Oryctolagus cuniculus: one gene and its partner. The protein of the gene in region 1 interacts with the protein of each later gene in a pairwise test. Links are inferred from orthologs where the notes say so. Each region holds a gene or a part of one and is shown on either strand. Other genes may lie near its edges.

Evidence for each region. The genes of interacting proteins can lie anywhere in the genome.
Region 2: the proteins of NDN (region 1) and ZBTB1 interact in a two-hybrid assay, tested with the Homo sapiens proteins (2 studies listed by BioGRID and IntAct). The link is inferred for Oryctolagus cuniculus from reciprocal best matches to the Homo sapiens genes NDN and ZBTB1.

What each region holds. Positions count from the first base shown.
Region 1 is NC_091443.1:13,452,491-13,456,638, reverse strand, and holds NDN (necdin), read left to right. Parts: upstream 1-1,660; 5' UTR 1,661-1,793; coding exon 1,794-2,771; 3' UTR 2,772-3,342; downstream 3,343-4,148. UniProt on the Homo sapiens protein: Growth suppressor that facilitates the entry of the cell into cell cycle arrest.
Region 2 is NC_091451.1:5,938,765-5,943,353, reverse strand, and holds the start of ZBTB1 (zinc finger and BTB domain-containing protein 1), read left to right. Parts: upstream 1-1,658; 5' UTR 1,659-1,871; intron 1,872-2,343; exon of another isoform or gene 2,344-2,587; intron 2,588-2,809; exon of another isoform or gene 2,810-2,902; intron 2,903-2,922; exon of another isoform or gene 2,923-3,065; intron 3,066-3,071; exon of another isoform or gene 3,072-3,335; intron 3,336-3,354; exon of another isoform or gene 3,355-4,589.

The sequences.
Region 1 (4,148 bases):
GAAGCTGTGCATCTAGGACTGAAACCCACCACTCCGACATGGGATGCCAGCATTGCAAGTGGCAGCTTAACTCACTGCACCACAATGCTGCCCCTCTAGATCTGTTTTCTATACCTGTGAAACATGGTCAACCATATGTTGCATCTCATACTTTGAGAGAAACTACCAGATATTATCTATGGGACTTACGCTTAAAAAAAGTATTGAAAAGGATGTAGGTGAGGCTCCCATTGCAGACAACTCCATTGCTCTCACTTACGATCCTGTGAGATGGTAAAGATTCCACATGGACACTGAGTGGAAAGAGCAGCAGTAGGGGGAATAAAGGATCTGAGGAAACAGGGAAAAGGACATTATCAAACAAGTTGTGCTAATAATTACAGCAATCTTTATCCTATAGAAACCTGATGAAAAGTTAAAATGGAATCAAAGTGACCCAAGGGAAGATGAAAATCAAAATCCATAATCAAAAGACTAATGAATCAACATAAGTAGCTATTTATAGATGAATGAATGAAGGAAATGTGGTATATACACACAATGGAACACTATTCAGCCAGAGAAAAAGAATGCCATCAGTCAGTTGAGGTAACACCAATGAGCCTGGAGGACAATATGTTAATCGATATGCACCAGGCACAGACAGACAAATACTACATGTCCTCACTCACATGTAGAAAGCTAAATAAGTTGGTCTCATGGAAGGTGAGATTAGAAAACTGGTTATCAAAGACTGGGAAGAAGAAGAGAAAGGGAGACACAGAAAAGTCAATTACATGCTACATAAATACAATTAAATGCAACAAAAAAATTTCCAGTGTTCTGTATCACATTAGGTGATTATAATTAACAATACTTTAATTATATATTACAAAATAGCTATATGGAAGGATTTTGACTGTCCCGTAACACAAAGAAATGAAAATGTGGGAAGTGGTGGATATGCTAATTACCCTGATTTGATCAATACACATCATATATATTTATGGAAATAGCACCCTGTTCCCCCAAAATATGTGCAATTATTATGTCAATTAAAAATGTAAAAATACACAAAAAATGTCAAAGTTGTTTTAAACCCATTATCTCCAGCATCATTCACATTTTGCACGGACTGATAGGGAATTTACCAATTCTGCATTCCTCCTTATTTTATACTCTTCCTCCTCCTACTCTCGGAATTTTGTAGGGAGAGACTTCATCAACTCTTACTGGTATTTCCCAGGATTCCAGTCTCAGATCTTCCCAAAGTTCGCATATTTTCTTAGAGAATCCCAACTATTCACATTCTCTTGAGGAATCCCAGCTGCTCCTCTCACTTGGTCGCAGGAAACCGGGAGCTCTCTCTGGGACGCTCCTGTCACACTTAGTCCTGGACAAACCCAGGTGGACCCTTGTAAGAAACTCTACCTCACCACGTGGGAAACTGAAGTTACCATCTTCCCCTTTAAACTTGCCCCTTCCTCAGCGACCACCCAGCCCCTCCTGCCCTCCCCAAGGCCGCCTCGTCCACGCAGGAAACCCGGGGTCATTCCCATCAGGCCAGCAGCGGCTCCACCTCAGACCCTCGCCGTCGGGCGCACAGCCCCTCCCCTCCCGCCCAGTCCGAATCGCGCGGCCCGCGGACGCGCAGGCGCAGTGTCCCGTCGTCCCGCCGCCGCCCCGCCCTGCCCGCCGCTGCGGAAGGCGCCGCGCGCAGCTACGCGCACTTCCTCTCAGGGAGACCGCGGAGGGAACGCAGGCTCGAAGAGCTCCGGGACGCTGAGGCCCTGCTCCTGTCAGACGGCGCAGACATGTCGGAACAAAGTAAGGACCTGAGCGACCCCGACTTGACAGCCGAGACCCCCAGCCGCGAAGTGCACAGCAGCCCAGGGGTTCCGGCGGGGGGCCCTGCGCCCGTCTCCCCTGCAGCGACCCTCGCAGGGCCACAGAGCCCTCCTCCAGGCCCGACGGCGCTCTCACAGCCCGAGCCGCCGCCCCAGGCCCCGAGCGATGAGGATGACCCGAAGGCCCTGCTGCAGGCAGCTGAGGAGGGCCGCGCCCACCAGGCCCCGAGCGCGGCCCAGCTGGGCCCCGCGCCGCCCGCCCCGGCCCAGCTGGTGCAGAAGGCACATGAGCTCATGTGGTACGTGCTGGTCAAGGACCAGAAGAAGATGATCATCTGGTTTCCAGACATGGTGAAAGATGTCATTGGCAGCTACAAGAAATGGTGCAGAAGCATCCTCAGGCGCACCAGCCTCATCCTCGCCCGAGTCTTTGGGCTGCACCTGAGGCTGACCAGCCTGCACACGATGGAGTTTGCGCTGGTCAAGGCTCTCGACCCCGAGGAGCTGGACAGGGTGGCACTGAGCAACCGGATGCCCATGACAGGCCTTCTGCTCATGATCCTGAGCCTCATCTACGTGAAGGGCCGAGGCGCCAGAGAGAGCGCCGTCTGGAACGTGCTGCGCATCTTGGGGCTGCGGCCCTGGAAGAAGCATTCCACCTTCGGGGACGTGAGAAAGCTCATCACCGAGGAGTTCGTCCAGCAGAATTACCTGAAGTACCAGCGCGTACCCTATGTTGAACCTCCGGAGTATGAGTTCTTTTGGGGCTCCCGAGCCACGCAAGAGATTACCAAGATGCAGATCATGGAGTTCCTGGCCAGGGTTTTTAAGAAAGATCCCCAGGCCTGGCCTTCCAGATACAGAGAAGCTCTGGAGGAGGCCAGAGCTCTGCGGGAGGCCAGTCCCAGTGTCCACTGCCCCCGAAGCAGTGTGTCTGAGGACTAGTGAGGTCTGGAGGCAGATTGATGGTTTCCAACCCCCACCAGGGCTGTGGAAGGGTGGGGGGCAGGTCTTAGAGTATTCAGGATTTACAGTGCAGTATTTCACGTGTAACCTTTCAGTTATCAGTACAGTGCTTTTATACCTTTTAATGCAATGTTGTATTCATTTGGGTACTATCAAGTAGTGTCTAGCATTTATGCATGTTTGTTTATAAGTAAGCTCTGTTGGTGCTTCGCTTTTGTGCTACCTTTCTTGGATTTTTTGTACCAGAGATGTGCTAAACTTATGAAATACATTGAGAAGTTTTCCATCTTATTCTTTTATATGGGACGATTGATGTGTACTGTATGATTGATGCACCTGGTGAGTGTGGAGAACTCACCAGCAAAGCTGGCCTAACCAAGAGAAAAGCCTAAGGCCCCTCTTTATGACCTTGATGGGCATGAGCAACATCTGGAGTGAACTGTTTTGAACTGAGATGGTCTCAATGTGGGCACTTGGCACACTTTACTAAACACATATACAACCTACCATGAGTAAACTTTAAACATTAAAGATTCTTGTGATACAATCATTTTTGGAGAACTGTACTCTATCATTTTAATAAACGGTATCATAGGGAATGAGAAGGGATTCCCCATTGTACAAAATATGCAAATACTTCATGATTAATCCTAAATGTGTATTTATATTGTATTATAAATACAACTCATATTTGTTTCAAAAGGTTTGAGAAATACAGAATGTGTAATGTCCCCAAAACAAGTAAAATTTTCCACAATCATAACACAAGGAAATAGCAATTGATCATATTTAAGATAATTTCTTGCCTTCATTTTCTATACTTTATCAAAGTTAATAGCTGCCTTTAGTGGTCTCTTAAAGAGGGAGGAATAGTGTTTTGTTAACTTTTGCCTTTTATTTAGTGCCCTCACTAAATAGTCGCTTATTACATCCACACAATGGAGGAAATCAGGAACAAAGTAGGGATGAACTTTGTGTAACTCACATAGCTGAGTAAAAGAGGGTGCTAGGATTTGAACCTATGCTATGAATCTGGAGCCCACATTCGTGCCCCTCAACCTACAACTCTACCTGTACCTCCTGGTTTTAGTTTGTTTATTCATTTTTTAAAAACTTAACTTTCACTCTTAGCTCCTAATCCCAACACTCAGGGGCTCAAGTGCCCCAACCACCCAGCCCCACAGACTAGTTAGGGATTTTGTTTTTCTGATTCATATCTTTTAGGCAAAGCGATATTACTCTGATTATAAAAACTAAGAAGCTTTGCTTCACAGAGATTGGTTGACCTAACAAAGTCCTATCCTTTCTTAGCACTGAAGCCAAAGTTTGAAACATGAACTTTCCTGAGGGTTGGAG
Region 2 (4,589 bases), on another chromosome or scaffold:
GGATCCACCTCCACTACCACCAAACCAGACATTCCGGGTAGATCTGGGCAAAAAAAGATAGGGCAGGTCACGTGGGGCCCCTCCCTGCTTCCTAGCTCACCCCAGCTTGATGTTTCACTGCATTCCGACTACGCCCAGTCCTCAGATCTAACCTATCCCCGGTGATGCCTGACAACCGACTCCTAATGTACCCTCAATTTAAACACATCCACATCCACAGGGGCCAGCGTTGTGGCTGACAGGCAAAGCCGCCACCTGCGACACCAGCATCCCACTGTGGGTGCAGGTTCGAGTCCGGCTGCCCCACTTCTCATCCAGCTCCTGGCTAATGTGCCTGGGAGAGCAGCAGCAGGTGGCCTGAGTCCTGGGGCGCCTGCACCCATGTGAGAGACCCGGAAGAAGCTCCTGGCTTCAGCCTGGCCGTTGTGGCCGTTTGGGGAATGAACCAGCGGATGGAAGCACTCTCTCTCTCTGTAACTCTTTCAAGCGAACACATATCCAGATTGCAAAAGACAGCTTCCAAGCCTTTATCCTAAGGAATTAAACTACACTGCAAACGTTATTCTGGCAGCGAATCGGGCTGAATCTGGGGAGGGCGGGGGTAGGGGAAGGGGCTTCAGGCTCTCAAGCACCTCCCGCCTGGACACGGATGCTATCAGTATGCGAAGGCCAAGGCCAGCACGCAGGGACCACGGCTGACTTCCCAAGCCCAGTGATCCTCCGGCAGACGCCACCCCGGCGCGGAGTGGGGTAACTGGCGTGGCCGAGTCTAGGACCAGGCAGCGCGCAGCGGCCCCTCCATCCCGCAGGGGCCTTCGTCTGCAAAACCACGGGGACAACCCGGATTTTCCACACGCCCCCTCTCAACTCCGAAGTGGGAATCCCGCGGGAGAAACACCACCTCGGCCAAACGGACTCGCGGCTCCGGAAAAAAGCCGGCCAAACGGGAGCCGTCGCCCGCGGGCGCGGGTGGCCGTGGGTCGCCTGAGCGGCTACTGACAGCCACGCGTGCCAGGCAAAGCGGCGGGGGGAAGCCGACCCGCTTCAGAAAGAAGCGCTGGGCCGGCTTCAGGGCGAGACCAGCGACGGCGTGGGGGCAGCTTCCTGTGCGGTGGGCGGGGGAGGGGCGGCGGCCGCAGCGTCCTCACGGCCCAGGAAAGGTCAGCCCCGCGGCCCCGGCCTCCCGCGCGGGCGGCGAGGGGCGACTCCGGCCTTGCTCGGCCCCCGGCAGGCATCTCAAACGGACCCCGAGCACCCCCTCTCGCCCCGGCTCCTCGCACCGTCCCGCGACCCGCGCGGCTCGCAGGCCGCCCCCGCTGGCTCGCGGCGGGACGGCCTGAGCCCCGGGGCGGCCCGCAGGGGCAGGGGCAGGGGCAGGGGCAGGGGCAGGGGCAGGGCCGCGTCGCTTACCCAGACGCCGCCGCGCCGGCGGGCCGGCTCCGCCGTGCGGGAGGGGCGGGCTCCCGCGCCACGCAAGGCACGCGGTGGCGCCAGCTCACGCACCGCCGCGGCCCGCTCTCGCGCGGCTTCCCGCGCCGGCCGCCCGGGCGCTGGGCCCACGTGACCCTGCGCCCGGCCGCGGGGCCGCGAGGGGCGCCGCGGAGTGCGTGCGTGCGTACGTGCGCGCGCGCCTGCCCGCCCGCCTGCCGGAGAGGCCGGGCGGGGGTCGGCCCGCGCTCCGGGCGCCGGCGCGGCCGGCGGTCGTGACTGTAGGCGGAAGCGTGGGGCCGCGTGTGCGCGTCACGGCCGCCCCCCACACACACAACCGCGTGACCCGGGGACTTTCCCCAGGGTGTGCAAAAGCACGGGCACCCGTCAGCTCGGGGTCGGGGTGGGGGAGGATGCGCCCGCGTGTCCGCCGCGCGACAGGGGTGAGGGCGCGGGGCCGGGGCGGCCTGGCCGCGGGAGCCCGGGCGGGGCACGGCGGGGGAGTGACTCAGGCAGGGCCGGGGGCGGGCGCGGGCCCCCCGCGCGGCCAGCCCGGGGCGCGGGGACCGGCGCCCCCGGGACGCCCCCGGCCTCCGGGCGCTGCGGAGCCGGGCTCTGACGTCTGGACGGGCGCGGGGGCCGCAGCATCCCGCCCTCGCGAGTCGGGAGGAGCCCGGGCCCGGCCAGCTGTGCAAACAGGAGGAGGAGGTCCCGAGCCCTGCCCTCGGGAAGAGGGGCGCGCGGGTGGCCGGGCCGCGCCGCGGTGCGGGTCGTGCCAGCCTCCCCGGAGCCCGACGCAGAAACTTGTTGCAGCAAACAGGCGACCGCGGGTGCCCCTAGCAGCCGGCGGCGGAGTGGGTGGGCGGGCGGGAGGGAGGGGAAGGCCTGGCGGACGCCGCAGCGAGCTGGTGGGCAGACCCGGAGTCGCCGCGTAAGCGGGGCCGGCTCAGTGCGGTGCGGCGGGCGCGGCTGTGCGGCAGCGGAAGTCCTTTGTTGCAGCACAGCCCCTGGCAGCGCCGGAGTCTCCGCGCAGCCAGCCCGAGCGCCGCGCGTCGCCGCCACTGCAGCCCGCGGCCCGCGGCCTCCGCCCGCCTTTCCCCGCGGCCGATCTGCCTTAAACTCCCTAAAACCTCCGCAGCCCCGGTTCCCGCTGCGGCCGGTGAGTATTTGCCAGCGGTGGGGCTATTTGCGCAACTTTGGCCCGGGCCGCGCGGGGCCGGGGCCGGAGTGCGGGGCGGCCGGTGCGGGGGAGCCGGACGCGCGGGGAGGAACGCCGGGCGGCGGGCGGCTGCCGGGCCTGCGGCGGGGGCTGCGGGGCGCGCCGCCTCTGGGGTCGGAGGGCGAAGCCCCCCGGTGGAGACGTGGTTCCCAAATTAGTTACCTTCTCTCCCCTGCGCCTGTGTTTTTTGGAGGGGGGGGGAGGGGAGGTGGAGGCGGGAGGGCGCGGGTGATTGACGTGCCCGGAGCCCGCTTCTCAACTCCCAGCTGCGGCTCCCGGGCGGGTGGGAGGGGAAGCGTCCCGGAGGCCGCGGCCGCCGACTCGGGCGCGCTCCGAGGGAGGAGGCGGCGGATTCTTGCTGCGCGCTTTTCCCACCCCCTCGCGCCGGCAACACATGCTGCTTGTTCCGTAGAAGTGGGTAGGTCTGGGGTTGTGTGCCCGGAGCGCTCCCGCGGTGGGCGCTCGCCGCGAAGTTGTGCGGGGCCCGGGCGCGGTGCGCGCAGGCACGGCTCCGACCCCGGCCGCCCGTTCGCGGGCGGGCAGCCTGCGGGGCAGAGGCGGCGATGGCTCGTGGGCGCCGGAGCGGGCCGGGGTCGCCGAGGGGGCTTCCCGCGTGGCAGGCTCCGCACTGGAGCAGTCCCCCCCGGGACGCTCACGCCCGAGGAGCGGTCCGAGCGAGCTCTCCGAGGTAACTTGGACTCCGGCAGCTTCTGGCGCTTTGAAGCGGATTGGGTGAGGGATGGCGGTGCTGGGGACCAACTTCAAACGCGATCGCGGTCGTCTTTGAAACGGGAGAACTCAAGTCTATGAAACTTTTTTTTTAAGGTTCATTTTATTGATTTGAAAGGCAGAGAGGGAGGGAGAAGCGGAGAAAAGCATCTTCCGTTGATTCTCTAAAGTTGTGTCATTGCAAATGGGTCTGGTCGGGAGAAAATGAGAATTGAGACAGGAAAAGGTGAGGCTGGCTGTCACGTGCTCAGAGCTTCAAGCTTGTCCTTTGAGGCCCTTGGCCGGGTCTTGACAGCGTGAATGCCTTTGGGAGCTAGCGGGAGGCTTCGTCCCGAGAAAGACGCGTGGCCGGGGGCGCGCGGGCAGCGCAGCCTGCAGCAGGAGCTGGGGCCACGTTGTCATTGCTGTCGGAGAACGGAGCAGGATGGCCTGCACTGTCAAGAGAGACGGGACTGGGAGCGCAGCGGGCGTGAGCGCAGCACAGCCACTTACTCGTGACCTTGTGTTCTGATTGCGCTTGAACGCTGTTCGGTTTCTGCAGGGTTTCCTGCGTCTCCCCTTCTGCCAGGCTCTGGAGAAGACGCGCCCCCCCCCCCCGGCCTGTTTTTTTAAGAGTCTCTGTGCGCGTTCACAAAACCATTTCCCTTTCTGCTGTGCAGGGGTGGAGGAGCACCTGCGTGCAGGCCTGTGCTTCCCTGGCCGGCTAAGCCTTTGCTGTTAACCTGGCCCAAAGGGGAGGAAATCATTCGGGATATAAATGCGGGGGAATTTCCGTAGATTTTTAATTTTTAGCTACAATATGTTGCCCCCCCCCCCCCCCCCACACACACACCAGGAGGTTTATTTGAGAAATGTTTGGTCACTTTGGTCTTTATAGAAGTTTCCTCCTGGTACTTTTCATCTTGTGCTGGTCGCTCTTATAGTGAAATTGCATTATTGTATGCTTTGGGAAACAATTAAAAGTTATGTCCTTTTTCTTAAAACGGAGATATCTTATAAACTTCAGGCACTTTGTAAAGATTCAACCTATACTGAAGTACATTACATATAAAAATGAAAGTCCTTTTGACTCCCACTCCCTCTGGGATAATCACTGCGAACAGTGAATTCCTTGTTGAACTTGAGAGAAGGCAGAGTTTGCTCACAGCCGTGTTGCTGTGTGTGCCTAAGGCCTGCCCAGGGCTGGTGTGTTGTGGTTCAGGGCTCGTGTTCT